Linked DNA regions of Schizosaccharomyces pombe. The protein of the gene in region 1 purifies or fractionates together with the protein of each later gene. This does not show direct contact. Each region holds a gene or a part of one and is shown in the gene's direction. Other genes may lie near its edges.

What was found.
Region 2: the proteins of usp101 (region 1) and smd1 purify together in Schizosaccharomyces pombe (co-purification; one study listed by BioGRID). This does not show direct contact.
Region 3: the proteins of usp101 (region 1) and prp39 purify together in Schizosaccharomyces pombe (co-purification; one study listed by BioGRID). This does not show direct contact.
Region 4: the proteins of usp101 (region 1) and prp40 purify together in Schizosaccharomyces pombe (co-purification; one study listed by BioGRID). This does not show direct contact.

The regions. Positions count from the first base shown.
Region 1 is NC_003424.3:2,456,240-2,463,968, reverse strand, and holds usp101 (U1 snRNP-associated protein Usp101), read left to right. Parts: upstream 1-1,786; 5' UTR 1,787-1,834; coding exon 1,835-2,620; 3' UTR 2,621-2,818; downstream 2,819-7,729. Other genes in the region: mRNA-decapping complex catalytic subunit Dcp2, read left to right, coding at 1-1,243; pth2 (aminoacyl-tRNA hydrolase), read left to right, coding at 3,012-3,629; trp2 (tryptophan synthase), read left to right, coding at 4,218-6,311. UniProt on the Schizosaccharomyces pombe protein: Involved in nuclear mRNA splicing. Essential for growth.
Region 2 is NC_003424.3:4,517,357-4,525,095, reverse strand, and holds smd1 (Sm snRNP core protein Smd1), read left to right. Parts: upstream 1-4,081; 5' UTR 4,082-4,105; coding exon 4,106-4,119; exon of another isoform or gene 4,120-4,162; coding exon 4,163-4,212; exon of another isoform or gene 4,213-4,268; coding exon 4,269-4,558; 3' UTR 4,559-4,909; downstream 4,910-7,739. Other genes in the region: SPOM_SPAC27D7.09C (But2 family protein ), read left to right, coding at 557-1,708; methyltransferase Mtl16, read left to right, coding at 2,146-2,219, 2,266-2,341, 2,420-2,430, 2,477-2,631, 2,680-3,056, 3,104-3,193, 3,250-3,624; etf1 (electron transfer flavoprotein alpha subunit), read right to left, coding at 5,025-6,050; anaphase-promoting complex subunit Apc14, read left to right, coding at 6,800-7,123; omt2 (4-alpha-hydroxytetrahydrobiopterin dehydratase), read right to left, coding at 7,264-7,554. UniProt on the Schizosaccharomyces pombe protein: Plays a role in pre-mRNA splicing as a core component of the spliceosomal U1, U2, U4 and U5 small nuclear ribonucleoproteins (snRNPs), the building blocks of the spliceosome.
Region 3 is NC_003423.3:3,424,221-3,432,678, forward strand, and holds prp39 (U1 snRNP-associated protein Prp39), read left to right. Parts: upstream 1-5,548; 5' UTR 5,549-5,580; coding exon 5,581-5,672; exon of another isoform or gene 5,673-5,719; coding exon 5,720-5,906; exon of another isoform or gene 5,907-5,956; coding exon 5,957-6,060; exon of another isoform or gene 6,061-6,105; coding exon 6,106-6,273; exon of another isoform or gene 6,274-6,304; intron 6,305-6,360; coding exon 6,361-6,956; intron 6,957-6,993; coding exon 6,994-7,281; intron 7,282-7,350; coding exon 7,351-7,754; 3' UTR 7,755-7,958; downstream 7,959-8,458. Other genes in the region: U1 snRNP-associated protein Usp102, read right to left, coding at 1-11; plasma membrane glucose/fructose:proton symporter Ght2, read left to right, coding at 3,352-4,947; autophagy-associated protein Atg5, read right to left, coding at 7,982-8,374, 8,446-8,458. UniProt on the Schizosaccharomyces pombe protein: Function prior to stable branch point recognition by the U1 snRNP particle to facilitate or stabilize the U1 snRNP/5'-splice site interaction. Has a direct role in the assembly or function of a catalytically active spliceosome.
Region 4 is NC_003424.3:5,373,510-5,382,612, forward strand, and holds prp40 (U1 snRNP-associated protein Prp40), read left to right. Parts: upstream 1-2,057; 5' UTR 2,058-2,102; coding exon 2,103-4,190; 3' UTR 4,191-4,253; downstream 4,254-9,103. Other genes in the region: protein new13, read right to left, coding at 1-127; GTPase Fet5, read right to left, coding at 608-772, 818-1,483; CHD family chromatin remodeller Hrp3, read left to right, coding at 4,918-5,109, 5,167-9,103.

The DNA.
Region 1 (7,729 bases):
CAGCAATTCTCGTTTATCGCATGATAATAACAGTTTCGATCCTTTTGCTTACCTTGGATTGGATCCAAAAAATCCATCTGCTTCTTTTCCAAGAGTTGTTTCTCAAAACAACATGTTAACTAATAAACCTGTGTTGAATAATCACTTTCAGCAGAGTATGTATTCAAATTTACTTAAAGACCAAAATTCTGTTCAGCATTTATTTGCCGCTAGCGACATGCCTTCTCCAATGGAATTGCCCTCGCCAAGTACTGTTTATCATCAAGTTTTTTATCCTCCCACTTCGACTTCCGTTAGTTCCTATGGTTTAGGCAAAACTCCGCAACCAGCATACGGATCTTCTTCTCCCTATGTAAATGGTCATCAGACTCAACAAATTTCTTCTCTTCCTCCTTTTCAATCTCAGACTCAGTTTTTAGCTCGAAATTCCGATAACTCAGGTCAATCATATAATTCGGAAGGAGACTCAAATTCAAAAAGGTTATTAAGTATGCTCTCTCAGCAGGATACGACACCCTCATCTTCTACGTTAAGCAAAGAGGCAAATGTTCAATTAGCGAATCTTTTTTTGACGCCTAATTCATTAGAGACAAAGAAATTTTCTGACAATAGTCAAGGAGAGGAAATATCAGATAATTTGCATGGTGAAAGTTGTAATAATCCTAACGCCAATTCTGTACACTCCGCACAATTACTTCAAGCTCTCTTACATCCATCCGCAACCGAAACAAAAGAGGAAACACCGAAAAAGACATCTGATTCGTTAAGTTTACTTACACTTCTTAAATCTGGATTGCCTACTCCTGCAAACGATTTGCAAAATAAATCACAGAATAACGAACGCAAAGCTTCCAGTCAGGTAAAGGAGTTGGAGGTCAAAAACTACAGCAAAAGCACTGATTTGTTAAAGAAGACACTTCGTATTCCCAGAAATGATGAGCCACTAGAAGCCGCTAATCAGTTTGATTTACTAAAAGTATCTCCGCAACAAAAGTCTGAGGTTCCTCCTAAACGAAACGAATTATCGCAATCAAAATTGAAAAATAGAAAGAAGAAGGAGAATTCGGAAACCAACAAAAACCATGTTGATATGAGTCCTGGTTTCGTTAAGATTTTAAAACGTTCGCCTTTGGCAGATCAAAAAAAGGAAGATACCCAGGAATCCGATTTCAAAGGGTCTGATGATCATTTTCTGTCATATTTACAATCTGTCGTGTCTTCTAACTCCAATGGTCTTCATTAATTTGTTATTCTAATTGGCATTGCATTAGAAACTAATGAACGACTGTGTAATACACATATGGTATTCTCTTCTAAAGTTATTCCTTTAATGTTTATTTTTCGTTTTACATTCAAATTGTTAATGAATATCAAGACTACTGACTTTAAATGAGACTTAGATGTTAATGTTGAACACTGAGTTAATCTAGTGGCTCTTTTCATTTTTTTCTATCACTTTTTGTTGAGAATAACGGTCTACTCAATGTTCTGTTGTTGTCGTTTTAATCATGCATGAATTCAACGTTGAAATAAGGATTTCCCTAACTTTTATTAGCTGGTGAGGCTTTTCGTCCTTTAAAATTATGAGGTTTCCTTTTGATGCAGCCCATGCGTGTACTAGGTTTATTCATAGGGTAAATACATATTTGCTTCCCTTTTATGTCAAATAAATATGACTATATAATTTGCTTACATATTTTAATAATAAGCGAAAAAATTGTACTGTACGCCCCCACATAGCACTTATTATACAGGCAATATCGCTTTACTGGGATATACCCTACACAGCATTGCACCCACACACTTCTAAATAAAAAAAAACAATTCATATAGAATGGCTGAAAAATTACCGGCTCCTCTACTTGCATTGTTTGCTCCACGTCCCCCATTGAGGTATCTGCCTCCTATGGATGTGCCTCCTGAGAAACGTTCAACACCTCGCGTTTCAGGCATAGCAAAATATCTGAAATATGCGCAGTCTCACGATCAACAATATCACCCGACTGAAAGCTTGGAAGAAAAGCGTTTGCGTCTTAGAGACGAGAAACAAAAACAGCAACGAGAAAGATTACGGTCCATGATTAAGGTATGGGATCCTGATCACGATCGCCATGTCATTGGAGATCCATATAAAACTATGTTTCTTTCTCGGTTAAGCTATGATACCAAGGAAAGCGATATTGAACGAGAATTTACTCGATATGGGCCTATCGAGCGCATACGAGTTGTTCGTAATAAAGTTACAGGAAAATCAATGGGATATGCATTTGTTGTGTTTGAAAGGGAACGAGATTTAAAAGTTGCTTACAAAGCATCAGCTGGTTTGATGCTAAATGGAAGGCGGATAGTGGTCGATGTCGAAAGAGGTAGAACTGTAAAAGGATGGCTACCGCGTAAGTTAGGTGGTGGACTTGGCGGGCGACATTATACAAAAGAAAGGCCGCGACGGGAACGGGGATCCCGATTTCGTGGCGACTCTGGATTTCGTGGTGGCTATCGAGGAGGATTTCGAAAATCTTCTGGAGGAGGGTCAAGATTTGGTCGTGGTCCTACTCGCTCCTCTCACTCTTCAGACTATGGAGGAAGAGATAGTTCCCCTAAGCGTCGTCGCTACAATTGATGTTAGAAAGTCTCACTTCAATGTTAACGCTAAACATAATTTTTTGTATACTCTTGATTACTCATTCTTTCTTCGAGTTATCATGTTAAAATGGAGAAGCGCATAGAAGATTGGAGACGCCTAAATTTAAATAAGTACCATGAGTTGGCTTCTGGTCAGTCAAACTTTTCAAACACATATATGAGATATCCTTCTTCGTTCTTTTAATGAAATTTAATATTAATTTCTCTGAATGCATCATTATTAATTTTGTGAAACAAATTAATAGTTTTGAGAGGAGTATGTTGCGCTTCACTACATCAATTTAATGATGTTGCCGGTATATATTATGTTTCTTAGCTCTTAAGTTTCGCACACATAATTATTTTGACATTATAATTTCATAGTAGTTATGAAAGTACCTTTCGTAAATTTCATGATCTCCTCCTTTCCTGCAGCAGTACTTGTCGGCGCTGTAGTGGGGTTTATGATCGGACGCAAATACAGTGTAGCAGATGCATCAAGAGGTTATAGTTCCAAAAATGCCAACAAAGCATCTAACCCAGAAAAAGAAAGTCCTGTTTCTGTTAGCAATGATGAAGACAGCGAGTCCGAAACTGAACTTTTAGATATGCTGAAAGGAAACAGCAGTTTGGCTGCGCTTGCATTGGCGGAAGGACAAACTAAAATGGTATTGGTCGTTAGGACGGATTTAGGCATGACCAAAGGAAAAATAGCAGCTCAATGTGCGCATGCAGCCTTAGCCTGCTACAAAATCGCATCTGCGGTGGACCCCGATTTGGTACGTATATGGGAAAATGCTGGACAGGCTAAAATTACTCTTCAAGCTCAAACCGAAGAGACGTTGGAATTACTGCAAGCCCAAGCAATGTCTCTAGGGCTATGTGCCAGGGTTATACACGATGCTGGTCGCACCCAGATTGCATCTGGTTCTGCTACAGTCTTGGGCATTGGTCCTGGGCCTGTCAGCGTAATCAATGAGGTTACAGGATCTTTAAAATTATTCTGAGAAATCTAAAAAATGTACCAAAAGGTGATATTTAATGCAACAAAATATGACAAACTTTTTTGATGGATTGCTATGTAACGCCAATACTCTTATTTTTCGACAGGCGAATTGTCTGTGCAATCAGCTTCCGTTCTGTAAAAACTGTATATATTTCTAATAACAATGAAAGTCAGCAACCCCAATTCTCATTTACTTACATTTGATTAATCTAGACATTGATGTCTCAGGTTGATTCCGTTCATTCATAACAAAATTTAGTATCAACTAGGCATATACTTTTATATTAGTAGTAAACAGCTTACATTCAAGTGAAGTTAATGGTGAAGTCGAAATTTAACTTTTTAGTTTAACATCCATCCACCTGAAGGTAATTTGCCCATGAACTTACGAAATTTGGTTCAATCTGCACCACAATTGCAGGCCTTAACGATTTTATAATGTTTTGAAACTTAATTTAGTTATCTATAAAATTATTTGACTTATCAATATGGTCATCTTCGTTTGAAATCTTAACGATCTATTCTGTCGGTCCCTCCAATCTCTGTTCCACCGCCAATATTTTTTTGACTATCGCAAAACTCATGAAAAATGACAGAGCAGATTAAAAAAACGTTTCTCAAAGCAAAAGAAGAAAACAAAAATGTTTTAGTGACATTTGTCACTTGCGGTTTTCCTAATGTTGATGAAACTATCAAAATTATGCAAGGTTTGCAAAATGGAGGAGCAGGAATAATTGAGCTTGGTATTCCTTTTTCTGATGCCGTCGCTGATGGTCCTACAATTTGCAAGGGAAACGAAATTGCTTTGAAGAATAATATTACTTTAGAAAAAGTATTTGAAACTGTAAAGCTCGCTCGTGATGCAGGTGTAACTATCCCTATAATTTTGATGGGTTACTACAATCCTATTTTCAGTTATGGAGATGCCAAAACTATTCAAAAGGCAAAGGAGGTTGGCGCTAATGGTTTCATCATCGTTGACCTTCCTCCAGAGGAGGCTGTCGGCTTTAGAGAAGAATGTAAAAAGCAAGGTGTTAGTTTCGTTCCTCTTGTTGCTCCTTCTACTACGGACAGGCGTATGGAGCTCTTGGCCTCTGTGGCTGACTCCTTTATTTACGTTGTTTCTCGTATGGGTAGTACAGGATCATCTGCTACCGGAGTAATCAATACTGCTTTGCCTCAGCTCTGTCAGCGTGTTCGTAAATTTGCTGGAGATACCCCTCTAGCAGTTGGTTTTGGTGTTAACACCAGTGAACATTTCCACCAAGTTGGCAGCGTGTCAGATGGTGTTGTAGTTGGAAGCAAAATTATCGATTTGATTTTGAAGGCAGAGCCTGGCACTGCTGCTACCGTGGTTGAGGAATATTGTAAATATCTTACTAAAGAAGACCCATCCGCACCTGTACCTAAACAGTTTCAATCCGGTGGTTCTGTTGCTACTGCCCCCCCTGCTGCTGTGGTCGAACCTATCAACGAAATGTATCTTCCTCAAAAATATGGCATGTTTGGTGGTATGTATGTTCCAGAAGCATTAACCCAGTGCTTAGTTGAACTTGAAAGTGTATTTTATAAGGCTTTGCATGATGAAAAGTTTTGGGAAGAATTTCGTTCTTATTATGAGTATATGGGTCGTCCAAGTGCCCTCGATTATGCTAAGCGTTTAACTGAGTATTGTGGTGGTGCCCATATTTGGTTGAAGCGTGAAGACTTGAATCATGGTGGTTCACACAAAATTAACAACTGTATTGGGCAAATTCTTCTTGCCAAACGTTTAGGAAAAAACCGTATCATTGCTGAAACTGGTGCTGGTCAGCATGGAGTTGCTACTGCTATCTGTGCCGCTAAATTTGGTATGAAATGTACTATCTACATGGGTGCAGAAGATTGTCGTCGTCAAGCACTCAACGTTTTTCGCATCCGTCTTTTGGGAGCTGAAGTCGTTCCGGTTACTTCAGGTACACAGACCCTTCGTGATGCTGTTAACGAAGCTTTGAAGGCGTGGGTCGAACAAATAGACACCACTCATTATTTAATTGGATCTGCAATTGGCCCTCATCCATTCCCTACCATTGTTAAAACTTTCCAAAGTGTCATTGGCGAGGAAACGAAAGCGCAAATGCAAGAGAAGCGTAAAAAACTTCCTGATGCAGTTGTTGCTTGTGTTGGTGGTGGATCCAATTCGATTGGAATGTTTTCTCCCTTCAAAGCCGATAAAAGTGTAATGATGTTGGGTTGTGAAGCTGGTGGTGATGGTGTAGATACCCCCAAACATAGTGCTACATTGACTATGGGAAAAGTTGGTGTATTTCATGGAGTTCGAACATATGTTCTGCAACGCGAAGATGGACAAATTCAAGATACTCACTCTATATCTGCTGGATTGGATTATCCAGGTGTGGGACCCGAATTATCTGAACTTAAATATACCAATCGCGCAGAGTTTATCGCTGTCACTGATGCTCAATGTTTAGAAGGATTCCGCGCTCTATGTCATCTTGAAGGTATCATTCCCGCTTTGGAATCTTCTCATGCTGTGTATGGTGGAATGGAGCTTGCTAAAAAGTTACCTAAAGATAAGGATATTGTGATCACCATTTCAGGTCGTGGTGACAAGGATGTTCAAAGCGTAGCTGAACAACTTCCTATTTTAGGTCCTAAAATTGGATGGGACCTTCGCTTTTAAGCAATGTTCTACTCACGATTTTCTGATTTATATTAAGGCTCCGTAAACTTAAGCGGAGTTGCGATCTATAGATATACAAGCATCGCATGCGATTAAACTTTTTTATACCAAAACATATGTGTATTTCTTTTTATCTATAAATATCATTTCAATTTTGCTTCTACTATTTACTAGCCTTAAATAGCGTTGTAGTCATGTAATAACCTGTACATAATACTGTACTTATTTACCTAATAAAGGTTTTCTGTGGATTTAATTTCTTAGGCTAATTTTTCAAAGGCTTAAGAGAATTATGTGTATGCTGAAGAAGAACATTCAACAAAGCGGTTTTCTTTAGTCTATGATTTTGAGAATCATGTCCTATTTACACTACAATGCAAGTGCAAAAAATGTTTTAAAACAATTTATCAGCACGAGCAAGATGTCGTAGTATTTTCAATTTATATGGTTTTGGCTTTTTAGAGTCGCGACATAGTCTATTAACATAAGCTTTAATCTTTGGTATATTAGCAAATCTTCCAGATTGAAGTTAGCAGTTTATGGAGAGAAAATAAAATTCTTTCTGTATATTCGCCTAATAAGACCACTCAAGTCTTTAGCACTGAATAATAAAAAGTGTCACAAATCTTTGAACTATGGTAAAACTCCCAATTACAATTACTTAAGTTCGCACTCCTAAAACAGCATTACCCGTAGAATAAATTGAAAAAAAAGTATAAAATCAAACAAGTGGTACAGATCAAATTTTTAAAAATTTAGTAATGTTTCTATGTTTTTATATTACAATATTCAGATAGGTAGTATTCTCGCTTACAGTTTAGACAGTAAATGTAACATTAGTGTTTCTCCACAATTCCCCACATAGTTAATAGTAAAGTTGAGGACAAAATTATGATTTATCTATATATTCTATGAATTACATATGACCCTAGATGTACCCATTCGACAAAAGTATCCTTCAAATAATAGGTCTTAAAAACAAAGACTTGCTCATTAGAAGCAATCGATCGTTCATTCACTTTACTAAAGGATTTACCAATATGTATTGGGGGCGTCGTTTCTAAGGCAAGGTAGTACGTTAGAGTTCGTAATATAATTGTTCGGTTAGTTAAGTGAAGAGCGATATGTGAATTAAAACCACCACATCAACCATATAAAAACTACATTATTTATGAAACCATAAGCATTCTGTTTAATTCATTAAATTAGGACAGAAATTAATTAGGCTCTTGCAAGGATCAAATTGGAGTGAAATTGCATCTCTTTACGATATTTCAAGTTGTGTTTTATTGCATTAGATTTAGAGGAGCAATCAGCAACGATCTATTAGCAGTGAACGTTAACGAATATCTCAATTACATTCGGATCTTTAATTATTTGGTTTATTTATTTTTTTAATAACAAAAAAGGGAAAGAAA
Region 2 (7,739 bases), 2.1 Mb from region 1:
ATAGCTAGGCTGAATACCAATTTGGGAAAATTCACTTGACTGGGTTTCTAATCATAAACATACGGTTAATTGTATCAATAGAAGTTATGATTAATATTTTTCCGTAAATACCCTTGGAATTGTATGACATATATTGATTTGCTAAGTAAAGCAATAAGTAGCGTACTGCAATTTTGCCGATATGAAAAACTGCACATGTTTATTACATAATTACTGCCATTCGGAAGCGCCGTGTAAAGCGGATTATTTGAACCGGGTTTTTTTCATAGAATATTCTTAAATTTTATCGAACTAAAATTCTAGAATAATGTTCATTATTATAAATATAAGCACGATGCTTGGCAAATAATTGTTGGTAACACTTAAAGAAATATCTGATACGAAAAAAGGAATTCTTACTTTGGTTGACAATAAGTGATTAATCTTCTTCAGTTTGATCAATCTTATTGCAATATCTAGAAATTCCTCCAATTTTTTAGTTATTATTAAAAGTTTCAATTAAAAAAAAAAACATTCATTTGCTTTGACTTTCTTGCATTTTTGTTTAACTTACGTTATGAAGCTTACTTCAATCCCCATTGCTTCCACATTGCTCTCTTTGCTCGCTGCCTCGGGCACATTAGCTTCACCGTTGCATAAGCGTGATGACCCTTTGAACAACAAGCAATTTGGCCTAATGTCTATTCATTCTGGCAACAGTTATGTCCACTTGCACCCTTTCTATGTAGGAGACTCTGGCGCTATTTACCTGGATCCTACTGATGGTACCAGTACTAGTGCTGTCTTTTCTATGAGTAACGGAAGACTGGTTGTCGGAAATCTTTACGCTTCGGTTGACAGCAATGGCACCACTATTTTCAAATCTGATGCTAATGCAGCTTCCACTAAGTTCAGTGCTGGTGATGCTACTAATGTTGGATACAATCTTCTATATAATGGAACCCAATCTGCGGTAGCTTGTCCTGCTAGTGATAATGATCAGGTCTACCAAGTATACTTCGGAGCCGGAAATGGTAACCCCAATTGTGCAGGTATTGCTATTGAGGCCTTCGTGTCTCCATCCTCTTCTTCTTCTTCTTCTAGTTCAGCTGCTACTTCAACTTCAACTCGCGTTTCATCGTCTGCTAAAGCAAGCACTTCTAGTGGGGCAATTGCTTACACCACCAAATGTGTTGTTGTTCCTGTTACAGCATCGGCTACTGCCACGGCAAAAGCTGCATCCGCAGCAGCTTCCTCAGCTGTTTACCCTCTTTTCCCACATGGAATTCGTTTGATCGATTCTGCTAACCCCAGTTCCAACTCCGGTAATGTTTACTCTCCAGTCGTCTTTCAGAAGCAAAACAATCATACCAACACGATTTTCACATTTGATGTTCCTCAAGTTTCCGGCAGTTGCGAACTCAACCTACATCTCGATACTAGCGGTTTCCCAATCACTGTTGAAGGCAGCAATGGTGTTGGTCAATTCATTCTTTTCAACCTCTCCTCCGTCGCCAACGATTCTACTGTTTACTCCAACCGTCCAAACCGCATTGCCGAAATTGGACGTTTCAACTGCTCTAGCTCTGGTTGCGATTATGCTACCAACGTTACATGCCCCAACTCATACACCGCGGTTTCTTATGAAATGATGGCTCTCACTGATGACTCTTATTTGAGTTTCTTCGAAGAAGCCGATCCTCTTGAGGGATTAACTTTACGAGTTTAAATTTAACTTATTGAGAAATCAAGAAGCATTATCTAGTTTAACTTCATTAGCATTTAAATTCATTACTTTTCTTTCCTTTATGAGTAATAATTTCCAGTAATCTTTGGGTAGACGCTATTGTTAAATGGAAAAATCTATTCAAGGGCCACCGATTATGTTGTACCATTTACCTAAGTAGACTCAGTGTATGCTGTATTTATTTTTGCTCACCTAATGTACCTTTAATATTTTTCTATATATTACCACTAATTATACGGCATTCGAAAGCGTTATTTGTACGAGCAAATTTGCGTTTTTTAACCAAGCAACCGCCGATAAAGGCGATATAGCAAAAAAAATTTACGTACTCAAAAATATGACTGATAAAACTGATATTATAAATTTCGATAGTTTAGCAAGGGATTATCCCGACTTGAGATCTTTGTAGGGCGTTCTCAATGCCAATTTATATACTAATTGAACGTAGCGTCAAAAATGGTCGCATTGATTTTTGGAACGAAGATGCTATTCGGTTGGTAAACTCACATATGTTAAACGATTGCTTACCTATAAATTAGTACGTTAGGAAAAGCAATTCTGGATCGGGATTATTCTCTTCGTGTTGAATTTCCTGAGAATCGTCTATGTCCAATGGTAAGAGATGTGTAGCATCACCAATGTTTCTTTTAAACAAACATTTCCCTTCTCTCATAAATGCTAATTCATTTAAAGGTTCCAAACCGGTATATTAACACATTGTTTATTCATCATTTATAACCAACTTTTCAGAGCCACTTATATAAGATATATTCATGACCTGTTGTCAAGTACATCTGGGCAAAAGGATAAAAAAAGAATCATTGGTTTGGATATTGGTACCGGCGCTAGTTGTATATACCCATTATTAGGCTGTCGTATGTACTCATATGATTTCGTTGGCACCGGTAAGCTTTGATTTTTCACAGGCTTTTACTAATTACTCAAAACTCTAGAAATTGACAAATTTTCTTTTGAAACAGCCAAGAGCAATATTCTTCAAAATAACATGGAATCCCAGATCAAAATTGTGCTTCGTTCTAAACAAGACTGCTTACTCCCTGATACCGAAGGGATGGAAGAATTTACCTTTGTGATGTGTAATCCCCCATTTTATGAACATGAGGAAGATTTCATAAATTTTAAGCAAAATCCACCATCGGGTGTTTGTACTGGAGTTTATCATGAAATGGTTACAGAGGGTGGTGAAGTCGGATTTGCCAATAAAATCTTAACTGAAAGTAAAAAAAGGAAAGGAATTCAATGGTATACCTGTATGTTTGGCAAAAAATCAAGTGTACCTGCTGTGGTTGATAAATTGCGTGAACAAAATGTAAGTCCTAACTAGCCTTTAAAATTTTTTTAACTTATATCTGTAAGATATCAAATTATGGAATTTACGAACTCGCACTTGGAAAGACTAAGCGCTGGATAATTTGCTGGTCATTTCAGGCTATGCGTCCACACAATGTATGCTGCTATCGAACGATATTTAAAATTCATGATACTAACAAAAGGATCCAAAGGAACTTATACGTCCTTCTTCAACTTCCCTTTCTAAATATTTCCCCCATAAGGTTCTTCAGAATTGGACTTTAGACCCAGAATTATGTGCTCAAATTGATGACATTCTACAGAAATTCTTAGATGATAACAAAATTCCGTGGTCTAAAAAAGGATCCGTTTTGGAAATATCAACAAAATCTATCACTTGGTCTCGTAAAGCTCGACGGATATCCAAAAGTCAAACTTCTGTTTCTAGTCTGGAAGGACAAATGAAATGTGAACTGAACGTAATAGATAATCAATTGCAGTGTAAATGGATTGAAGGATATGATTATAATGTTTATGAAAGTTTCTGTTCAGCTTTAGCGCGAGCTTTACGGGACAATAAAAAATAATTCAATTCGTGAAAATTCACTTGGTAATCTTCTTATATTGAATAGCCAAAGCTTTGAATTTTGTATTTGAATAAAATGTCTTAAATTGTATAAAATAAATGATTAAAACAAATGACATGCGATACATAATAATTTTATCTCTAAAATTTGATGCCTTAAAGCTCATTCGAGTATTGGGTTCGAAACCCATTTATTTAGACTAATGAGTGCTTTCACTTAATTATTAAAATTAGTATCAAGCTTTTTCAACAGTCGAATCTGTATTAAGAAGTCTTAGCTTCTCAACTTTATTCTCAGATACTGGAAAAATAAATGCACATGAAGATCAGCCTATTAATATCACAAAGCTATTTTGGACTAGTAAAACTTCAGAATCCATTATATCTTAACATAAAATTGATGATTTTATCTATTGTTGATGTGTTTTAGTCGAACATAATACTTGATTTTTGCAGTTGCCAGGAACACCAAAGCACACACCATGAAGTTGGTACGGTAAGTATGATAAAAAATCTATACATATTCCTAACGAGTTTAGCTTTTTAATGAAGCTGACGAATGAAACTGTCTCTATTGAGTTAAAAAATGGTACGTAAAGCCTTACTTTCGTATAATAAATGAACCAAACTTACCAAATCGCGTAGGCACAATTGTTCACGGAACGATTACTTCTGTTGATATGCAAATGAATACCCATTTAAAAGCTGTTAAAATGACTGTCAAAGGTAGAGAGCCAGTGCCTGTAGAAACTCTGTCAATTCGTGGAAATAACATACGCTACTACATCCTCCCAGACTCGTTACCACTTGATACCCTTTTAATTGATGATAGCACAAAGCCAAAACAAAAGAAGAAAGAGGTAGTACGAGGTCGTGGACGTGGACGTGGCCGTGGAACTAGAGGCAGAGGCCGCGGTGCTTCTCGTGGGTTTTAAATATTATGAAAATATTCTCTTTTCGCACCCTTATTTTTGTCAGAGAATTTAAAATTATTGGCAATATCAATCGGCCTTTGCATTTTATTTTCTTTTAATAGATTTGCTTTGTGATGACATTGAAGTATTGCTGAGAGTGTATGCGTATTCTATGTTTTCCATGTTTCTATCATTTATCTCTGGTTAAATATCTAGACCGCTAAAAAAATCCCTTTCTTTCTCATACGTTGAAATGTTTGATAATCAACCTACGATAGCTTTGCTGAGGTGGCTTCATAAATGTATGTATAAAACGACTTCAGAGTTGTTTCACTGGTATATAATTAAATATTACATCAAAAATTTCCTTAATTTATTACGAGTACCCAGTTAAATAAACGTGTATTTTATTAACTTCTAAAAAGATGTGAAATTTGAAATAAATGTGATATTATGAAAAATAAGGAATCATTCCTCAACATGATTTTCAAAGTTTTTCAGTAAGCTCCGGGACGATTTCAAATAAGTCACCTACAATTCCCACATCTGCTGTTTGAAAGATAGGAGCATTTTCATCGCGATTTATAGCAGCAATGACTTTGCTATCTTTGATTCCGGCAAGATGCTGAATAGCACCATCAATTCCAACAGCAATATAAAGCTTTGGGGCGATGATTTTTCCAGTTTGACCTATTTGTAAAGAATTATCAGCATAGCCAGAATCCACGGCAACACGTGTAGCACCAATTGCTGCACCCAATTTGTCAGCCAAAGGTGTAAGGATGCGTTCAAATGTCTCTTTGTCTTTCAAAGGTCGACCACCAGCAACAACTCTTTCGGCAGAAGACAAATCAGGCCTAGCATTCTTTATAATATTCTCACTAACCCATTCTTGTAGAGCAGCTGGTTTTGGATCAATACCTTCAACAACAGTGGCTGCTCCTTCACCACTTGAAGGAGCGGCGTCAAATGCAGATGCACGAACGGTGACGATTTTAATAGGATCCTTTGTAGACACAGTAACGTTTACGTTTCCCGCGTATGTCGGACGAACGAATGTGTCAGCAGAAACCACACCAATAATGTCACTAATCTGCATCACATCAAACATAGCAGCCAAACGAGGCATCACCCCTTTACCAACAGTTGAATGAGCAGAAAAAACATGACTAATTTCATTTTTCTTAACATTTTCAAAAAGAACATTGGCTATTTGATCGGGAATGTTATGCTCATATGACGGATTCTCAACGTAGATAACCTTTTTCAAATCGTTCACCGATTTTGCTACCTTTTGAGAAATTTGAGAAGAATCCTTACCGATTACAAATCCAAAAACATCCCCACCGGTACGCTTTGCTGCTTCTACTGCTGACAAGGATGCTGGAGACAAGTTCCCTCCCTGATGCTCAAGCAACGTCAAAACACTAAACCAATGCCTTCTTCCACAATTTATTTTAAAGTTAGAAGAAGACAAAGCCCTAGAAAATGTCCGGCTAGTAGTCCTTAGCATGTTAGAATACTTCGTTGTAGGTTTGAGGGTGAATGAGGATGTACGCTGACAATATGTATGTTCACATATTATACTAAGAAAAAACTTAAGTAATACAGTCTTACATTTCAAAGGTAAAATAACTAAAAATAAGTAATCGTGATATATTTAAGTGATTTATCTACCAGAAATGATTTTTCGTGAGTATGAAAACATCCTAATTTTCATATACCTTACATTTATTTTTTTTGATAACCAACTGCCAATATTTTGACAAATTCTTTCAATACAAAGTTTAAAGTCTATAGCGATTGCAATAACTAGGTGCATCATTAAAAATAATAATAATGAAAATTCTTTTCAAATAAAAAAAAATATGAGAAACTCAATGTATCCTTCTTAGCATTACAGTTATTGAATCGTTCATCAACGTTAAAGTTCACTAAGATATTAGGAGACAAAAGGTGACTTCACTATTTTATTTTAATAACACACTCCACATTCTTATACCACAAGCATTGCTTTCTAACGATGGCAAGGAGTTTTGTTCAACTACGCACACAAGATAGTAAATAAACAAGAAAATCGGTGAAATTTCCTAATCACTTGTCCAAACCTCTTCACTTACTGCTTAAATACAAAAGAGATTACAATTTTCATATTTAAACGGTTCTCTTTTAAAGAAGAACAAATCAATGATTGAAGTCATTGTCTCTTAGTACTCACGGGGGTTTTTTTTACTTTTGTATATTAAAACGTTTCGAGGTCATATGGATCCGTTTGCTGGTACTGGTCAGTCCAAAAGTTATCGAACTTTTGGAAACGTCTTTCAAAGACTCTCCATGTCTGGCAACCCAAAACCTCTCGCCAAGAAACCACTTCTACTCCCTGAAGCTTCAAAAGCCATTGAATTTTGGAATTATCGAGATGTTATAGGTGGTGAAGAGGCCGAGCAAGAAAGAAATGAAAGGGCAAGTAGAATTGCAATATCCAGAATTGCTTCCAGCAGAAGTTCTATTCCAGAATACAGGCAAGCTATTATGCAGCATCTGACAAAACATGTTCAACAACTTGACCAGTTGGCTGAATGGTGATTAATGAGTTTATGATATAAATTCTTATCCTTTCAAACACCACATCACTAAACACTAAATTAATTCAAAATATTAAGAATAATTTCTGGCAATCTGTGTCTCAAGATAGTTTTCCGCTACTACCCTCTTGGTTGCAGCTTTCAGTTATCCTTTGCAAGTGTATCAATAAATTCTGCCAGCTTTAAATCTTTTTCTGTAAGTCCCTTTGTATCGTGAGTTGTCAACGTAATATCCACTTTATTGTATACATTAGTCCATTCGGGATGATGATTTAGCTGTTGTGCACGCAATGCGACACAGCTCATAAATCCCCAAGCTTCAATGAAGTTTTTAAAACGAAAGCTTTTAAATAGTTTTGTATCTCCTTGTTGAAGAATCCAGTTGTTTTTTGATTTCGAGACTAACGCCAGTAATCTAGCTGATGTGTTCATTTTTTCAACCTTCTAAACCAACGTTTATTCCAGAAAAAATGTTTTTCTTCAAAATTTAGGTAAAATATCAATGTGATGTGTGTAGAACGTAACTGTTTTAATACACTCAATTTACCTCCTTTTACTTTGGTATGTGAAAGAGAACGAAATCATATCGTCTTGTCTTATTCACAACATCAAAAGAG
Region 3 (8,458 bases), on another chromosome or scaffold:
TGAGGATCCATTGGATGTTAAATATAAAAAGATATTCACAGTGAATTTCGGCACTAATGTTATGATGAATCAAAAAACACGAGTATTTAAAAATTGGAAGACAATCCAGCTTATGGCATTAAATTCCAGCTAATTACCAAAAGAAGTAGTCTTTCAGGTACCACCTTGTTTTAGTAAATATGGCTCGTAATGGTTGACTTTACATTCAATTTCAAAATGTAAATTATAGCCAGCATTAATATTTCGTTGGATGTATTCTAAAAGCGCTTGTTTTCAAAATACAGTACTCTAATGTACCAAATATCAAATGGAGAGAAACACTCCTTATCCAAGTTAAAGATCGCGAAAGGAAGAACTTCAATAAATGGACGTAGTTTTAACACGATAACGCATCGCTATGTTTGACCATGTTGTTGCTCATTAATCTTGTTTTCAGTTGCAGAAAAAGTTACGAATGCTTGAATAGTGAATACGATAATCTGTACAATAATTCAGTTTGCCTTGTATTTTGTTACAATATGGTACAAATCCTTATATAATTTACGAGATACCTAGGTAAAAGAACCGAGTTTATGCGTTAATGATTTACCGTGCAGACAAATTTTGAACGCGCAAACAAAAGAATAAAAATTTTATAAACAACAATTGATTTAGTTACTGAAAGAGAGCGTTTACCCAAAGTAAAGAAAATGATATAAATATTGTTATTTGTAAACTGTGGATAATATGGGAATCGATGGTGTACTGGACGCGCAAATAACGAATTTTACGAGCCGTCCTATTAAGAAATACAACAGCCGAGAACAGAAGAGCAGTCACAAACCATTTTTTATTCCACAATATTAGATTGTATTAACACAAATAAAATTTTTTTTTCAAGGCATTCTCTACAATATCGAAGACATTCAACGTATAAAGGTTAGTCTTGATTCAAATACTTACCCTTGTAATTTCAATTTAATGTTAGACAAAGTTATTGCCCCAACGTCTCTGGAAAACGCGGATGCAAATTGTGGAGGAGGCAGAACTGGAAAAAGTATCAGCCAATCATCAACATGTCTGAAAAAAAATTCCAAGATATTTCTAAGCCTAGCTCGTAAAAACGGGTGACAAGACATGTATGGCGCTATCGAAGTACGAAAATAGAAAATTGCCAGACGATATTAGAGTAAAAGACACAAAAAGAATTTCATTTATTCACCCTATTATAATTTTTCAGCTTTCATCAATGTATGCGTACTAACTAAAAAAATTATCGGTGGTCATTTAAAAACAACAAAACCATCCAGCATTCATCACATGTCTTTCATCCAATCAAATGTAGTTATAGCTATTATCGTCCAATAGATTGCAGAGGCGGGATCAAAATCCCCTTAGGCAAAATTGGTAGGCTTCTCCACAGTTTTTCTCAGACTTGGGAAGAATGGAGCGGGGTAGGGAAATATAGCAAGACCCTGTCTTACAATGATTGGGCAAAAGCTTCACATATATGGGAGCAATATATGTACAATAGGCGCTTTTCACGGACATAGCAAACCTTGTTAGTAATGAGTTGGGCGTATTTAAGGAGGTCCCAAGGCCTCAAAAGTCGTTTACCAAGTTCATAACTTTTTAGGGACTACGTTAGTTAGCGATGAATTAGTGATGATTTAGTGTGCAGCGTTTACATTTTCTTAACACAGACAATTGCAGTACGGGTTACAGCTCCATATTTCTTCTATAGTCCGAATGAAGTATGGGCGTACACGTAATCAAGGGATAGAAGTATCCTTTTACACCGAACTGTTCAAGAGCGAATATATCGCTTGAGAATTCTGTTTTTTTTTGAAAAGGTTCATTGTCCATCCATATTTACCTTCTTGTTAGGGAGTCTCGCTAGGATGGTTGGTGTCGCGGTCGATGTATGGTCTCCAGGTTGGGGGCCCCTAGCTATCCTGACTTGGATAGGACAGAGATAAGATACACGTTGCGTGACGTTTTCTTAAAAAAAAAGAGCACGGCTATGCTCTATTCATGTTACTAGTTAATACTAGAGGAACTCCGCATTTAGGTTAGTTCCGTTATGGACTCGAATATGTGGAGCTCGAGAATGCAAGCAATCGAAATTTGAAGGATTATGGTTCCGTAACGTTAATTGTTCTATTGCCAGCTTTGAGATAGTCATGCAGCGATGAGAGTATGCTGTGTTTTAAACTTTGATATTTGCTGGTTCCAATACGTATGGCCACCATTGGTATTATTTTTTCGCCTTGCGAATTAATTTTACTGCAGACACTTTACTTCTTTTGCCTCAGGAAACGTTTTTTTGTGTTCAATCTTGATTTAACGATATGAGGAGTATAGAAATATACTTGGTTTTTTCGGTTACTTTGCTAAAATTATTGACGTTGGAATACACTCTGTATTTGCTAGCAGTCCGAACTTGCAGCCTCGGTCGCCAAAGTATTTAAATTTACTTTACTTTTGAGAATTATTCCTACATCACATTTATTGAAAGTCGTTTTTTCATCCTGTTATCGGCTTTCTACCTCACTAATAGTGTCTTTCCCCAGTATATGCATCAGTTTCATTACGTACAGTGTATCATTTTACGATTGAATTTTTTTTTTTGCTATGGAGAATTAATGATATCGTGACATTTTTACCTCGTTCTTGACTTTCAACGAGCTGTTGATCCTCGTCATACACGTCGTTTAAATTCTATTCCACATCTTATTCGTTCTTATTTGTGTGTGACTGCGTTTTTTTAAGTCGGCGTCCAATGATACAAGAGTTTGCTAACTACCTTGTTGCCCTTGTAATATTGTGACGTATAACCAAAAACTCTCCGGCGATCCTGTCTAAAATTTCACTGAAAGCAAAGGACTTTTGATACTTTTGTCGGGGTTTCTCTTCCCGAATTTAGTATAAAAGCTGCCCTCTTGACTGTTAAAATCTTTACCTAGACCTATTCTTGCTTTTTAAGTGCAAGAGCAACTTTAGTCTTCATTTACCTAAAAATCCTTTCTTTTTTTGGTTAAACAAGAACGAAATCCAAAGAAAGCTCAATAAAAGCATTGTGCTTTCCTTGGTTACCCTTTCTTTATACCGATTTTGAAAATACAAGCTCTCTGTGCTTGAAAATCATAATCTAGATTAATTTTTCTTTTAATTTTTATTTATTGAGAATCTCTTGTCAAGATCTCTAACTCATAAACTGTCTGTTCTTTGTTCTATCATTTCTGCTTAACGTGTTGCAACTGAAATAGACGTGTGGTTAATTTTATTCAATCTTTTATTTTCCACTTACATCCTTTCTATAGAATTTTTGTTTTTTTTCATCTTTATTAGATTCCTTTATACTTTATCAAAATGGGGTTCAAGCGTGGAAAGAATTTTACCCTTGTTATGTTAATTTTCGTCTCCATGGCCGGTTGGATGTTTGGTGCTGATACCGGTTCCATTGGTGGTGTTACTAGTATGCGCGATTTTCGTGAGCGTTATGCTGATAGATATGACCCGATCACCGACCAGTATTCTTTGTCTTCGGCTCGTCAAGGTCTTTTAACTGGTATGGTTAACGTTGGTTCCTTGTTTGGATGTATCATTTCTTCTCCCATTGCCGATCGTTTTGGTAAGAGACTTTCTATCATTGGTTTTTGTGCTGTTTATATCATTGGTATCATCGTTCAAGTTACCGCTGTTCCCTCTTGGGTACAAATCATGGTTGCCAAGATTTGGACTGGTATTGGTATTGGCGCTCTTTCTGTCTTGGCTCCTGGATATCAATCAGAGACTGCTCCTCCCAGTATTCGTGGTACCGTCGTCGTCACTTATCAGTTGTTTGTCACTGGTGGAATTTTCATTGCCGCTTGTATCAATATGGGTACTCACAAACTTCATAAAACTGCCCAGTGGCGTGTTTCAATTGGTATTAATCTCCTTTGGGGTATCATTACCATGATTGGAATTCTCTTCCTTCCCGAATCCCCTCGTTATCTTATTCAAGTTGGCAAGGATGAAGAGGCTGTTAGAGTTCTTTCTGAAAGTGCTGAGCTTTTTCCTGATAGTGAGGAAGTTCAAAATGAATATCACCGTCTCAAATCATCTATTGACGAAGAATTTGCTGGTGGCCCTTGCAGCTGGGCAAGCATTTTCGGTAAAGACATTCGTTATCGTACTTTCCTTGGTATGTTTGTTATGTCGCTTCAACAATTGACCGGTAACAACTATTTCTTCTACTATGGTTTCTCAGTTATGCAAGGAGCTGGTATTAATTCTCCTTACCTATCTGCTATGATTCTTGATGCAGTTAATTTTGGCTGCACTTTTGGTGGTATGTATGTATTGGAAAGGTTTGGTCGTCGTAACCCTCTTATCATTGGTGGTATTTGGCAGTCAATTTGCTTTTTCATTTATTCAGCTGTCGGTTCTCGTGCTTTATATCATAAGAACGGTACTTCAAATACCCGTGCTGGTGCCGTTATGATTGTCATGGCATGTCTTTTCATTTTTGGATTTGCTCAAACTTGGGCTCCTGCCGCATACGTTATTGTTGGTGAGTCATACCCTGTTCGTTACCGCTCTAAGTGTGCTGCCGTCGCTACTGCTAGCAACTGGCTCTGGAATTTCCTAATTTCATTCTTTACTCCATTCATTCAAGCTTCTATTGGATTCAAGTACGGTTACGTTTTTGCTTCTTGTAATTTGACCGGTGCAATTGTTATTTTCTTGTTTGCTAAAGAGACTAAAGGTCTTACTTTGGAAGAAATTAATGAGTTGTATATGTCTGTCATCAAGCCCTGGGAATCTGGTAACTTTAAGCTTAACTATTCTGAGCAAAAGAAAGTTGAGAAAGAGAAATCCAGAAAGGGCGGTGCCCGTGGTGAGTCTGTTGAGTATGTTGAGCGTGCTTCAAACACTGACTCATCTCCACAATACTCTTCCCATGAGGAAGATTACGCATAAGGCAATAGCTAAACGTCTTTGTATGATTTATGAATTGTGTGAGGCAGCTAGATCCAAAATTTGTTGTTCCGATTCGTTGGGTCTATATATTATATTATTAGCTAAGTTTGGATTGATAATTTGTTAAGTTACTGTGCATCTTAAATCTAGTTTTTTGAGATTATGTTCGTTTGCATATAATATTAGATACATGTGCATTCTTTGTCCATTTTTGTGTTTTTGTGTTCATTATAGGAAATAATATTTTTTATACCTAATTAAGTTTTTGTTGATTCGTTGCTTAGTAGCTAAGTATTTCCAATGTTAATAAATATTTGTAAATGTTGAAGTGAGTCATGTTTATACAGTGATTTGTAGTTGAATTTTCATTATATTAGTAAGTCTGTTACAGAACAATAATCATTTTACGCTTGTGTATCGCCCAAATGTACTTTATTAGTTATTAATTTTTAAATCAGCGTTGCGGGCAGTGTCGTATTATTCTGTATGATACGATTCGGCAGACTAATGTACTGCACTAAACTAATATTGTAATTTATTTAAGTTCAACCGAATACGGCTGAAGAAAGTATATTTCGTTGCTGTTCGATATTTACATTTTATCCTTACGCGCTTTTATACTTGCGAACCAAAATGGATTATGGGGATATTTACATTGCAGAGGAAACAGAATGGGATAAATATAATCGTCAAATAAATAAAAATCCAGATGATTTTGATGCTTGGTAGGATGTTGTCAGATACAACTTATTTAGTGCTAATTATGATTTAGGGAAGGACTGGTTCGTGCTTCAGAACATCTTGAGGGAGGTGTTGGCAGAAACTCTTCGAAACAGGCTATCAATACATTAAGAAGTGTGTACGATCGATTCTTGGGAAAATATCCGCTATTGTTTGGTTATTGGAAGAAGTATGCAGATTTTGAGTTTTTTGTGGCAGGTGCTGAAGCATCAGAGCATGTATGTACACAAGTATTATGCGATTTGTTATTTTTCTAATAAAAAAATAGATCTACGAACGAGGAATTGCTGGTATTCCACACTCTGTTGATTTGTGGACAAACTATTGCGCTTTTAAAATGGAAACCAATGGTGATGCAAATGAAGTTCGGGAGTAAGAATAAACCCTTATTTCACGTGACAAATACTAACTCATCAGGCTATTCATGCAAGGTGCGAACATGGTTGGATTGGATTTTCTGTCACATCCATTTTGGGATAAATATCTGGAATTTGAGGAGCGTCAGGAGCGTCCAGATAATGTATTTCAATTATTAGAGCGTCTTATACACATTCCCCTACATCAATACGCTCGTTATTTTGAAAGGTACGGACAAATTACCATTAACATTCGTAATTGTCTCAATTAATTTTGTGATCAAATTCAATTTAAGCTCAAAGGCTAACGTCGTAGATTCGTTCAAGTTTCACAGAGTCAACCAATACAGCAATTATTACCTCCTGACGTATTGGCATCTATCAGAGCTGATGTAACTCGTGAACCCGCTAAAGTTGTTTCTGCTGGATCAAAACAAATTACCGTTGAACGCGGTGAACTCGAAATTGAAAGAGAGATGAGAGCTCGCATATATAATATCCATTTGCAAATTTTTCAAAAAGTTCAACTCGAAACTGCTAAACGATGGACGTTCGAATCGGAAATTAAACGTCCTTACTTTCATGTTAAAGAACTCGATGAAGCACAACTAGTTAATTGGAGAAAATATTTGGACTTTGAAGAAGTGGAGGGAGATTTTCAGAGAATATGTCATTTGTATGAGAGATGTTTAATTACTTGTGCACTTTATGATGAATTTTGGTTCAGATATGCAAGGTGGATGTCAGCCCAACCTGACCATCTTAACGATGTTTCTATAATTTATGAACGTGCATCTTGCATTTTTGCTTCAATATCGAGACCAGGAATCCGAGTGCAATATGCTCTTTTTGAGGAATCCCAAGGCAACATAGCTTCAGCTAAAGCAATCTACCAGTCCATTTTAACTCAACGTAAGTAATTTTTACAAAATTTAACATTAACGTATAGTTCCTGGAAATCTCGAAGCAGTGTTAGGATGGGTTGGTTTAGAAAGAAGAAATGCCCCCAATTACGATTTAACCAACGCACATGCAGTTTTGCGGAGTATAATAAATGAAGGAAAATGTAATACAGGCATTACTGAAGTATTAATTACGGAGGACATCAAACTAGTTTGGAAAATTGAAGGGGACATTGAACTTGCAAGGAATATGTTTTTACAAAATGCACCAGCTTTATTGGATTGCCGTCATTTTTGGATATCTTTTCTTCGGTTTGAGTTAGAGCAGCCTTTAAGTAAGTAGTTGTTTTGTGTTTTACACTCAATTATACATCAATGTACATTGTGGCTTACATATTTTCCAGACAGCAAAAACTATACTGAACATCACGCCCGTGTCTCTAATGTAATGGAAATGATTAGAAATAAAACAAGGTTACCGCCAAGGACGATAATGGATCTTACAAAGCTATACATGGAATATCTTTGCCACCAATCCAACGATCCTTCAGTTTTACAGGAATACTTATTAATTGATCGAGATGTCTTTGGGCCTTTTAGTGTACGGGAATCCCACTGGAAAAAGCTCGATGAAGGACAAGATTTGAAACAGGTTAGTACTAGGCTTTTAAGCACTAACGGTCACCCTGGTATTTCTGTGAATGAAGCAAAAATCAAGTCTGGTGAATCTCCATATGAGAAATATTACCGTCTTCAGGGTGTTGTTGAGACAGTAACATCTGGTGTTGCTGCCAATGGGTCTTCATAATCTACGACTTCTCATTAAAAAGAAATTTTCATAGTCAAATTATCAATGCTATATCTCGTTGCATTTCCTACTTCTTAAAAAGCAGTTTGTTTAGGGAAAGGAGTACTCAAACGCACCTTAATGTCATTGTAAAGTCATTGCTAGACTGCATGGGTATACAAATCTTAAAATTATTTGTACATGAATAACAAATTATCTAAAGGAGCTAGAGAAGAGACGTAAATGTTTTAAACTTTCATTAAAACAATATGTAAAAACCCATCAATGTAACAGAAATCTCGATTGAGCTCGTCTAAAACGCTCTGAAGAAAAATTGTAATACCATGAATAACTGGTTTAACTATTAAGAATTTATCACATGATGGAAACAAGTCGGGAAGGCGTTTATTGAGAAACTCACCAAGAGAACTACCAAGAGGTGCAGAAGTTTGTATAATAGGAGCATTGGCCCCTAAATAAATTTTTAAAGGAATGAATTTGGATTTTGAAAAAAGTATTTTTATAGCAATGGGACGGAAATCATAGTAATCATGATTGAGTATTGCATTCCAGTAGGTGTCTGTTTCTGCCTTTGAAAGAGCGATTATTCCAGACGAACTTCCGTTACGAACGTAATCAGACTGTAAAAAGTTAATATGGATTTACCCCTTTTGTAAATAAATCATATATGTTTTTGTGATAGAGAACGCACCTCTTTTAAGCAG
Region 4 (9,103 bases), 2.9 Mb from region 1:
TAGCTTTCGTAATGGCTTTTGCTGGTTTTTGAACGTTCACTGCAGGCTTTGGTTTTACAGTTGGTTTTTCATTCACCACTTTTTTTTCCTTTGACTTGGAACTACATATTGATAGTACTTGTCCCATAATTGATTATTTGGCTTTGGCTGATGACTTTGCATGTCACTCACTTCATTTTACGTACGGAAATTCTCGGTAAACAATTTTAAAGAATTCTATGCCGAATTTTAGCAAAGCTTTTTGATTACATTGTTTGTACATGATTAGTTAATGAATAGCCATTTCTTATTTAAACCATTTTTCACATAGTGCTGTTGGTACTGTGTACTTTGTTGGAACCGGATTTAAAACCATTGTTGTACTCATCAATTGTATAATCAGTAAATGCATTCAAGTTCCTACAAAACATTTTATTTATATTTAAACAAAAAAATATCTAATTGTTTTCTTCAAACTACTATGCTAAAACTTTACAAATGAGATGTGTCAAATTACAAACTATTTATAAATAAAATTCGCAAACGTTGAAACTCTTCGACTTTCATTAACATCATAAGAATCTATGCACCGGTTCCAAAATTTTTACCCTTCTATACGTGTATCTCCCTATTCATCGTCTTCTAAATCATCTGCTTCAAACCGATCAGGATCTTTTGGTTCCTGATCTTCGTACCATTGGGTAGCATCGTCAATATAACTAAGTACTCTGCTTACGCTTTCCTCGTTTCCGCTCTCAAGAGGAAGGAAATTGACCATATTAAAGTCATCAATCTAGTCATTAGCAGAAGCTCGAGGAATTATGATTCTGTGACTTACCAGTTGAACAATGCACCGATTAAGTTCGTGAAACTTTGGGTTTGTTGTTTCGTTAATTTCACCTGTGAGCAAGAGTGGATCTGTATTGAGAAACCTTTTTAATTCCGCTTTTGTAATGTTATTGTTGTCTTTGAGTAAATCCATTTTGCTCAATAAGTTAATATGCGGGACTTCCATCATAACCATTGCGCTCATTGCGCTTAAAACACCCGCAAAGAACTTTGTACGGTCAACGAGAAATTGGCTTTCTAACAGGTAGACAGCACAAGGACGAAAGTTTAGGGTTACTTGAAGATGGCGAATTAATGCTGGTAAAATTGGTACGTGAGTATACAATTCAATTTGTCCAGGCATATCGAAAATTAAATAGTCTTCGTCGTAATCGCCAATTTCTTCATTTAACCAATCTAAGTTTTCCATCAAAAATTCGAAACAATAAATTAACCCACCATTAGGGCCGTAGTCCAGCTCTTCCATAACATCATCAATGGATATTAAGTCTCTAATATCAACAGTTGGTTCCCATTCGAAGTTTTCTGCAGCAGGATCTAAATTAACTAAATGGCAAGAACGTCCAACGCTTTTCATATAAGACATTAATGCTCCACAAAACGTACTTTTACCACTGCTGGCAACACCACAAACAAAAGCTGCCACCTTAACCATTTTTCTAAAAAGACTAACGTCTTTTGAAACGTCGTGTTCTTTTATCCTATGCCTTCTTACCTGTGCCCGTATGCACCCTTATAACTCGCCATGCGATGCCCTAAGTATTTTACTGACTTTTAACAACAAATACTTTAACTGTGAATAACACGCTCTGTTTAAATCTTTAAGTCTTGCAGAATTTACGTTAAACGTCACTAAAAACATTCATTTTTTTGAATACCCCCTAATATAAGTACGATGTCAATATAGCTTTTTCTACTTCTTGTATAAAATTAGTTTAATTTCTCTTGATACAGCTTAACTCACTCCATATTTCAACTCAGTCATAAGTTGTTTAGCAACGGCTATAGCATCGCTTGTAAATTAACTCACTTTGAAGTCTGTTATTCTCAAGACCTGTTTACAACAATATAGTAAATGTATTCTAAACTGACCACAGTCTAACGTATCTCTATTATCAATTAGATATTACGTAGTTGATAATACAGTGAAACAACGAGTCCCCCACATATAGACTCGACCACCACACCCGTTTGTAGTGAACAGTGAGTGTAACTCTACACGCTGGCTTAAACCACAACCCCAATTTTAAGGGGAGTTATTCATAAATGTGAAGATGTCTGCACCTCCATGGCAAACTTCAGAGTACGATGAAACTGAGGGATTCACGTCTAATCAGGAAGGGCCGTCAGCAGCTCCTTCCAAGACTGTGGCCTCTGACTGGCATGAAGTGAAGACAGAAGATTCTCGAGTTTATTACTACAACTCAGTAACGCGCAAAAGTGTTTGGGAAAAACCAGAGGAGTTAATGAATGACTTTGAAAAAAAGCTTTCGAAACTAGCTTGGAAAGAATATGCCACCGCTGATGGCAAAAAGTATTGGTATAATGTCAATACCCGTGAATCAGTGTGGGATATTCCTGATGAATATAAAGCTGCCCTTGTTGATGAACCGGAACAGCAAAAAAAGGCTTTGTCGTCTAAAATCAAAAGCAATGACAACAAGCCAGCTGTTCAAAGCATTCAACGGCATGGTCCGGATGTTGCTGCTCCTTCAAGTCAACCAGCTAAAGATCAAAGCCAACAAATTTCACAAGGCAGTCATAAACGAACTATAAACTTTGTTCAACAAAAGGATAAGCGCCAAAAACGTTCTAATGATTATCAGCACGAAAACTATGATACCTATGAAGCCGCAGAGCGCGCTTTCTTTAAATTTTTAGACTCTCATAATGTCAACCCAAGCTGGACTTGGGAGCAGACTGTCCGAGAGCTTTGTGATGCTAAGGGCTATTATGTCATGAAGGATCCTTGGCATCGGAAATGTGCTTTCGATGCGTACATCTTAAACTATTTGACCGATCAAAGTGATGCAGAAAAGAACCGAGTAACTAAGATTAGGAAGGAGTTTATTGAGATGCTAAAAAGTAGTGATAAAATTCATTCTTATACTTTGTGGCGTACTGTGAAGAATGAATTTTCTTCTCATCCTGCTTTTAACGCTACTTCTTCTGAAACTGAACAACAACAACTATTTTTTGAATATAAGCAAAAGCTTTTAGAGGATGAAAAGCAGTTGGAAAAGGATCGCAGAAAGGAAGCATTGGATGATTTTTGTTCGCTTTTGCGAAACATGAATTTCGAGCCTTACACCCGCTGGAGCGTTGCGCAAGCAAAATTTGATCAAGATCCAAGGTATACAAGGAATTCAAATATGAAATATCTTTCTAAATTAGATGCTCTTGTAGCATTTGAAGATCATGTTAAGCATTTGGAACGCGAATATATTCTTGACAAACAAAAGCAGAAGAAAGAAAAGCATCGTATAGAAAGGAAAAATCGTGATGCCTTTCGTGCGCTATTACAAGACTTACGCGTGCAAAAGAAGATTACATTACGCACGAAGTGGAAAGAATTATATCCCATAATCAAGGATGATCCAAGATATCTTAACTTACTAGGGCAATCTGGCTCTACACCATTAGATTTATTTTGGGATACGATCGTTGATTTGGAGAATATGTATCGGGAAAAGCGTAATTTGGTTTTGGACTGTCTTGAAGTATTGCAAATATCTGTGGATGACACATCTAATATTCCTGAAATTATAGCAAGGTTATCAGAAAAGCTTAAAGATCGAGAGGAAAGTGAGGCAGTAACTGAAGACCTTATTGAAGAAGTTGTTAATCGATTACGTGATAAAGCGATCCACAAAAAAGCTGAGGAAAAGCGTGCTGATGAACGACGCATTCGAAGGAAAATTGATAATCTCAGAAGTGCCATTAAATACCTTAAACCTCCAATTTCTGCCGATGCTTCTTACGATGAAATTAGACCTTTAATTTCTATTCTACCGGAATTTGCTGCGCTCCATTCCGAGGAACACAGGATGGCTGCTTTTGACAAATATATAAGACGGCTTCGAGAAAAACGGGAATTGGAAAAGCAATACCAAAACAGAAGAGGTTATTATGATGTCGGTAAAGATGAAAGTTATTTAGCGAATAGTGCCCGACCACATAGCGGATACGAAGATGGAAGGTTGGAATATTCTGCTGACTTAGCGTCAAAAAGTAATAGGAATGAAATTAATACGATGCAGGATGTACAGGAAAATTCAATCTCTCATGTTACCGCTACACAACCGGCTGTTAAAAATATTGTTGATGATGCAGAATCTAGTGAAGAAGGTGAAATTCGTTAGTATTCAAGTTAGAAATTTAATTGTTAGTGCGTTTAATACACATGCATTTTAATGTTCTCTCAACTCGCTTTTTGTATTCATACAGTTTGATTACCTTTAGTAGCGGATACAGCCTGTAGCTATTTGAACCTCTACCACCAGTACCTCAAAAATTGTTTTTGTAACAAAACTAGCAAGTTGCTATTAAAATAGCAAAATACTGCTATAAGCGTTCTATTTAATAACGCGTAAGTAAATTTTTATTAAATTTTGTTGCAGCCACAGTTCGTTTTCCGAATTTGACGCTGAATATGTGAATGATCCACGTGTCGCATTTTTTTGTTAAACCTACATTGTTCAATGCACTGAATGTAGCTCTCTTTTTTTAAAAACCTTCTTTCTTATTATGTTTTGCTTGTTTCTCTTGTGATACAATCTTTTTGGTGGCATTCGACCTTTTATTCAAAATTGCTCTTTCTTCGAAAATGAACGATATAGTGCTTCCTATCGAAAAGATACGGGAGTTAATATGTGTTCTTTATTTAAATCTGTTCGGATCTCGTCTAAATATAGTCGTTAGTCAAGAGTTATAAATATTCACATTTAAAGTGGCATCTGGCAGTTCTCAGTTAACTAGAAGTTGGATGGAAGCCTATTACATATTTCACAATTATTCAGCATTTCAATTTCGGAAAAGTTTTGCAATAAGAAATTTGCGAAATTGGTTCTAACTTCTGTTTTAGTTGATATGAGTACAAGTGCTATAGCACTTGCTTTGTCATCATCTAAGGCTATTGAGCAGCTGGATCACGTTCAAACTGAAACCCCTAATCTTAAGCAGGAAATGTCCGAATCCCCTTCGAATAGCGGCGTAGCCTCCAAGCGCAAATTACAATCTACTGAATGGCTCGACCCAGAGCTTTACGGTCTTCGACGTTCTGTATGTCTCACATTATTTTATTCATTATGAAACTTACTTAGATGCTAATCATTATAGGGTCGCACTCGTAGTAATCCAGGAAGATATGTAGACACTGATGATCAAGAAGATGTGTTCCCATCCAAGCATCGTAAAGGTACTAGAAATGGTTCATCTTTTTCTCGTCATCGAACAATTCGCGATTTAGACGATGAAGCTGAATCTGTCACCTCTGAGGAAAGTGAGTCAGATGATAGTTCTTATGGCGGAACTCCCAAAAAGCGATCTCGGCAAAAAAAATCAAACACCTACGTTCAAGATGAAATTCGATTTTCTTCTAGAAATAGTAAAGGTGTTAACTATAACGAAGACGCGTATTTTGAATCGTTTGAAGAAGAAGAGGAAGAAGAGATGTATGAGTACGCAACTGAAGTTTCTGAAGAACCTGAAGATACACGAGCTATAGATGTCGTTTTAGATCATAGACTTATTGAAGGACACGATGGCTCTACACCTTCTGAAGATTATGAGTTTTTAATTAAATGGGTTAATTTTTCTCATCTTCATTGTACATGGGAACCTTACAATAACATTTCTATGATCAGAGGATCTAAAAAGGTCGACAATCACATTAAGCAAGTCATACTTCTTGATCGAGAAATTCGAGAAGATCCGACCACTACGCGTGAAGACATTGAAGCAATGGATATTGAAAAAGAGAGAAAGCGTGAAAATTACGAGGAATATAAGCAGGTAGACAGAATTGTTGCCAAACACTTAAACTCCGATGGCTCAGTTGAATACTTAGTGAAATGGAAGCAGCTGTTATATGATTTTTGCACATGGGAAGCTTCCTCAATTATTGAGCCTATTGCTGCCACGGAAATTCAGGCATTTCAAGAAAGAGAAGAAAGTGCTCTTAGTCCATCAAGAGGTACAAACTATGGTAATTCGCGTCCTAAGTATCGAAAACTGGAGCAACAGCCTTCGTATATAACCGGTGGTGAGCTTCGTGACTTTCAGCTTACAGGCGTCAACTGGATGGCATATCTTTGGCATAAAAATGAAAATGGGATTTTGGCCGATGAAATGGGTCTCGGTAAGACAGTCCAAACTGTGGCTTTTCTTTCATATCTTGCACATTCTTTAAGACAGCATGGACCTTTTCTTGTAGTTGTTCCACTTTCTACAGTTCCTGCCTGGCAAGAGACATTAGCTCTTTGGGCTTCTGATATGAATTGTATAAGTTACCTTGGAAATACCACCTCAAGGCAAGTAATAAGGGATTACGAATTTTATGTTGATGGAACTCAGAAAATAAAGTTCAACTTGCTTCTAACTACTTATGAGTATGTACTCAAAGATCGCTCGGTGCTTAGTAATATAAAATGGCAATATATGGCAATTGACGAAGCTCATCGATTAAAAAACAGTGAATCGTCACTTTATGAAGCACTTTCTCAGTTCAAGAACTCAAATCGATTACTTATAACTGGAACACCATTACAAAATAATATTCGTGAGCTTGCGGCTTTGGTAGACTTCCTGATGCCAGGAAAGTTTGAGATTCGTGAGGAAATTAATTTAGAAGCACCAGATGAGGAGCAGGAAGCTTATATTAGAAGTTTACAGGAGCATTTACAACCCTACATTTTACGAAGATTAAAGAAAGACGTTGAGAAATCTCTTCCTTCTAAGTCTGAACGTATCCTTCGTGTTGAGCTTTCTGACTTACAAATGTACTGGTACAAAAATATTTTAACTCGCAATTACCGTGTCCTTACTCAAAGCATAAGTTCGGGAAGTCAAATATCTTTACTAAACATAGTTGTGGAGTTGAAAAAGGCAAGTAATCATCCTTACTTATTTGACGGAGTAGAAGAGTCATGGATGCAAAAAATAAACTCTCAAGGAAGACGAGATGAAGTCTTAAAAGGTTTAATTATGAACAGCGGGAAAATGGTGTTACTTGACAAACTTCTATCACGTCTTCGTCGAGACGGCCACCGCGTTTTAATTTTTAGTCAAATGGTTCGTATGCTTGACATTCTTGGTGATTATCTTTCTTTGAGGGGATATCCACATCAGAGACTGGATGGCACTGTCCCTGCTGCTGTACGAAGAACTTCAATAGATCATTTTAATGCACCAAACAGCCCAGATTTTGTGTTTTTATTATCCACACGAGCTGGAGGATTAGGTATTAATTTAATGACTGCTGATACAGTTATTATTTTTGATTCCGATTGGAACCCTCAAGCTGATTTACAAGCTATGGCACGTGCGCATCGCATTGGTCAGAAAAATCATGTTATGGTATACAGGCTTCTTTCCAAAGATACGATTGAAGAAGATGTCTTGGAACGTGCACGTCGTAAAATGATTCTTGAATATGCAATTATTTCATTAGGTGTTACAGACAAGCAAAAGAATTCCAAAAATGATAAATTTTCTGCTGAAGAGCTTAGCGCTATTTTGAAATTTGGAGCTTCTAATATGTTTAAAGCAGAGAATAATCAAAAGAAGCTTGAGGATATGAATTTAGATGAAATTTTGGAACATGCCGAAGATCATGATACTTCCAATGATGTGGGTGGAGCCAGCATGGGTGGTGAAGAGTTTTTGAAACAGTTCGAAGTTACAGACTATAAGGCAGATGTATCTTGGGATGATATTATACCCCTAACTGAACGTGAGAAGTTTGAAGAGGAAGACCGCTTAAGAGAAGAGGAAGAAGCGCTTAAGCAAGAAATTGAGCTTAGTAGTAGACGAGGTAATCGTCCTTATCCTAGCTCTGCGGTGGAATCCCCATCCTACTCTGGAACTTCTGAAAGGAAGAGCAAAAAGCAAATGCTTAAAGATGAGGTTTTACTGGAAAAGGAAATTCGGTTGCTTTATCGTGCTATGATTAGATATGGAAGCCTTGAGCATCGCTACAATGACATTGTTAAATATGCTGATCTTACTACGCAAGATGCTCACGTAATAAAAAAGATTGCAGCTGACTTAGTAACCGCTTCACGCAAGGCTGTATCAGCAGCCGAGAAGGACTTATCTAATGATCAGTCTAATAATAAGTCATCTCGTAAAGCGCTGCTCATTACATTTAAAGGTGTAAAAAATATAAATGCTGAAACATTGGTACAAAGGCTAAATGATCTTGATATTCTTTATGATGCTATGCCAACGTCAGGATATTCTAACTTCCAAATTCCAATGCACGTTAGATCTGTTCACGGCTGGTCCTGTCAGTGGGGACCCCGAGAAGATTCCATGTTGCTTTCTGGAATTTGTAAGCATGGATTTGGAGCTTGGTTAGAAATTCGAGATGATCCAGAACTCAAAATGAAAGACAAGATCTTTTTAGAAGACACAAAACAAACAGACAACTCTGTCCCCAAAGATAAAGAAAATAAAGAGAAAAAGGTACCTTCAGCTGTGCATTTGGTTCGTCGAGGTGAATACCTACTTAGTGCTTTACGTGAGCATCACCAAAATTTTGGCATAAAATCAAGCCCCGCTATTAGTACTAATGGAAAAACTCAACCTAAGAAGCAGACGGCTAATCGCAGACAAAGTGGCAAGCCTAACGTTAAATCTGCGCAAAAAATAGAGAGTGCAACTAGGACACCATCGCCTGCAATTTCAGAATCTCGTAAGAAACCTTCTTCTAAAGACACGAAGATTGAAACACCTAGTAGGGAACAGTCTCGCAGCCAGACAGCTTCACCCGTCAAATCTGAAAAAGACGATGGTAATGTAAGTCTAAATGCTGAACAAAAGGCACGCTGCAAAGAACTGATGTATCCAGTCCGTAAGCATATGAAAAGACTTCGGAAAGATTCTAGTGGGCTTGGACGCGCGGAGTTGGTGAAGTTACTTACTGAGTGTTTGACAACGATTGGAAAGCATATTGAAAAAACTGTCAATGATACACCCTCCGAAGAAAAAGCTACTGTTAGGAAGAATTTATGGATGTTTGCATGTTACTTTTGGCCGAAGGAGGAGGTTAAAT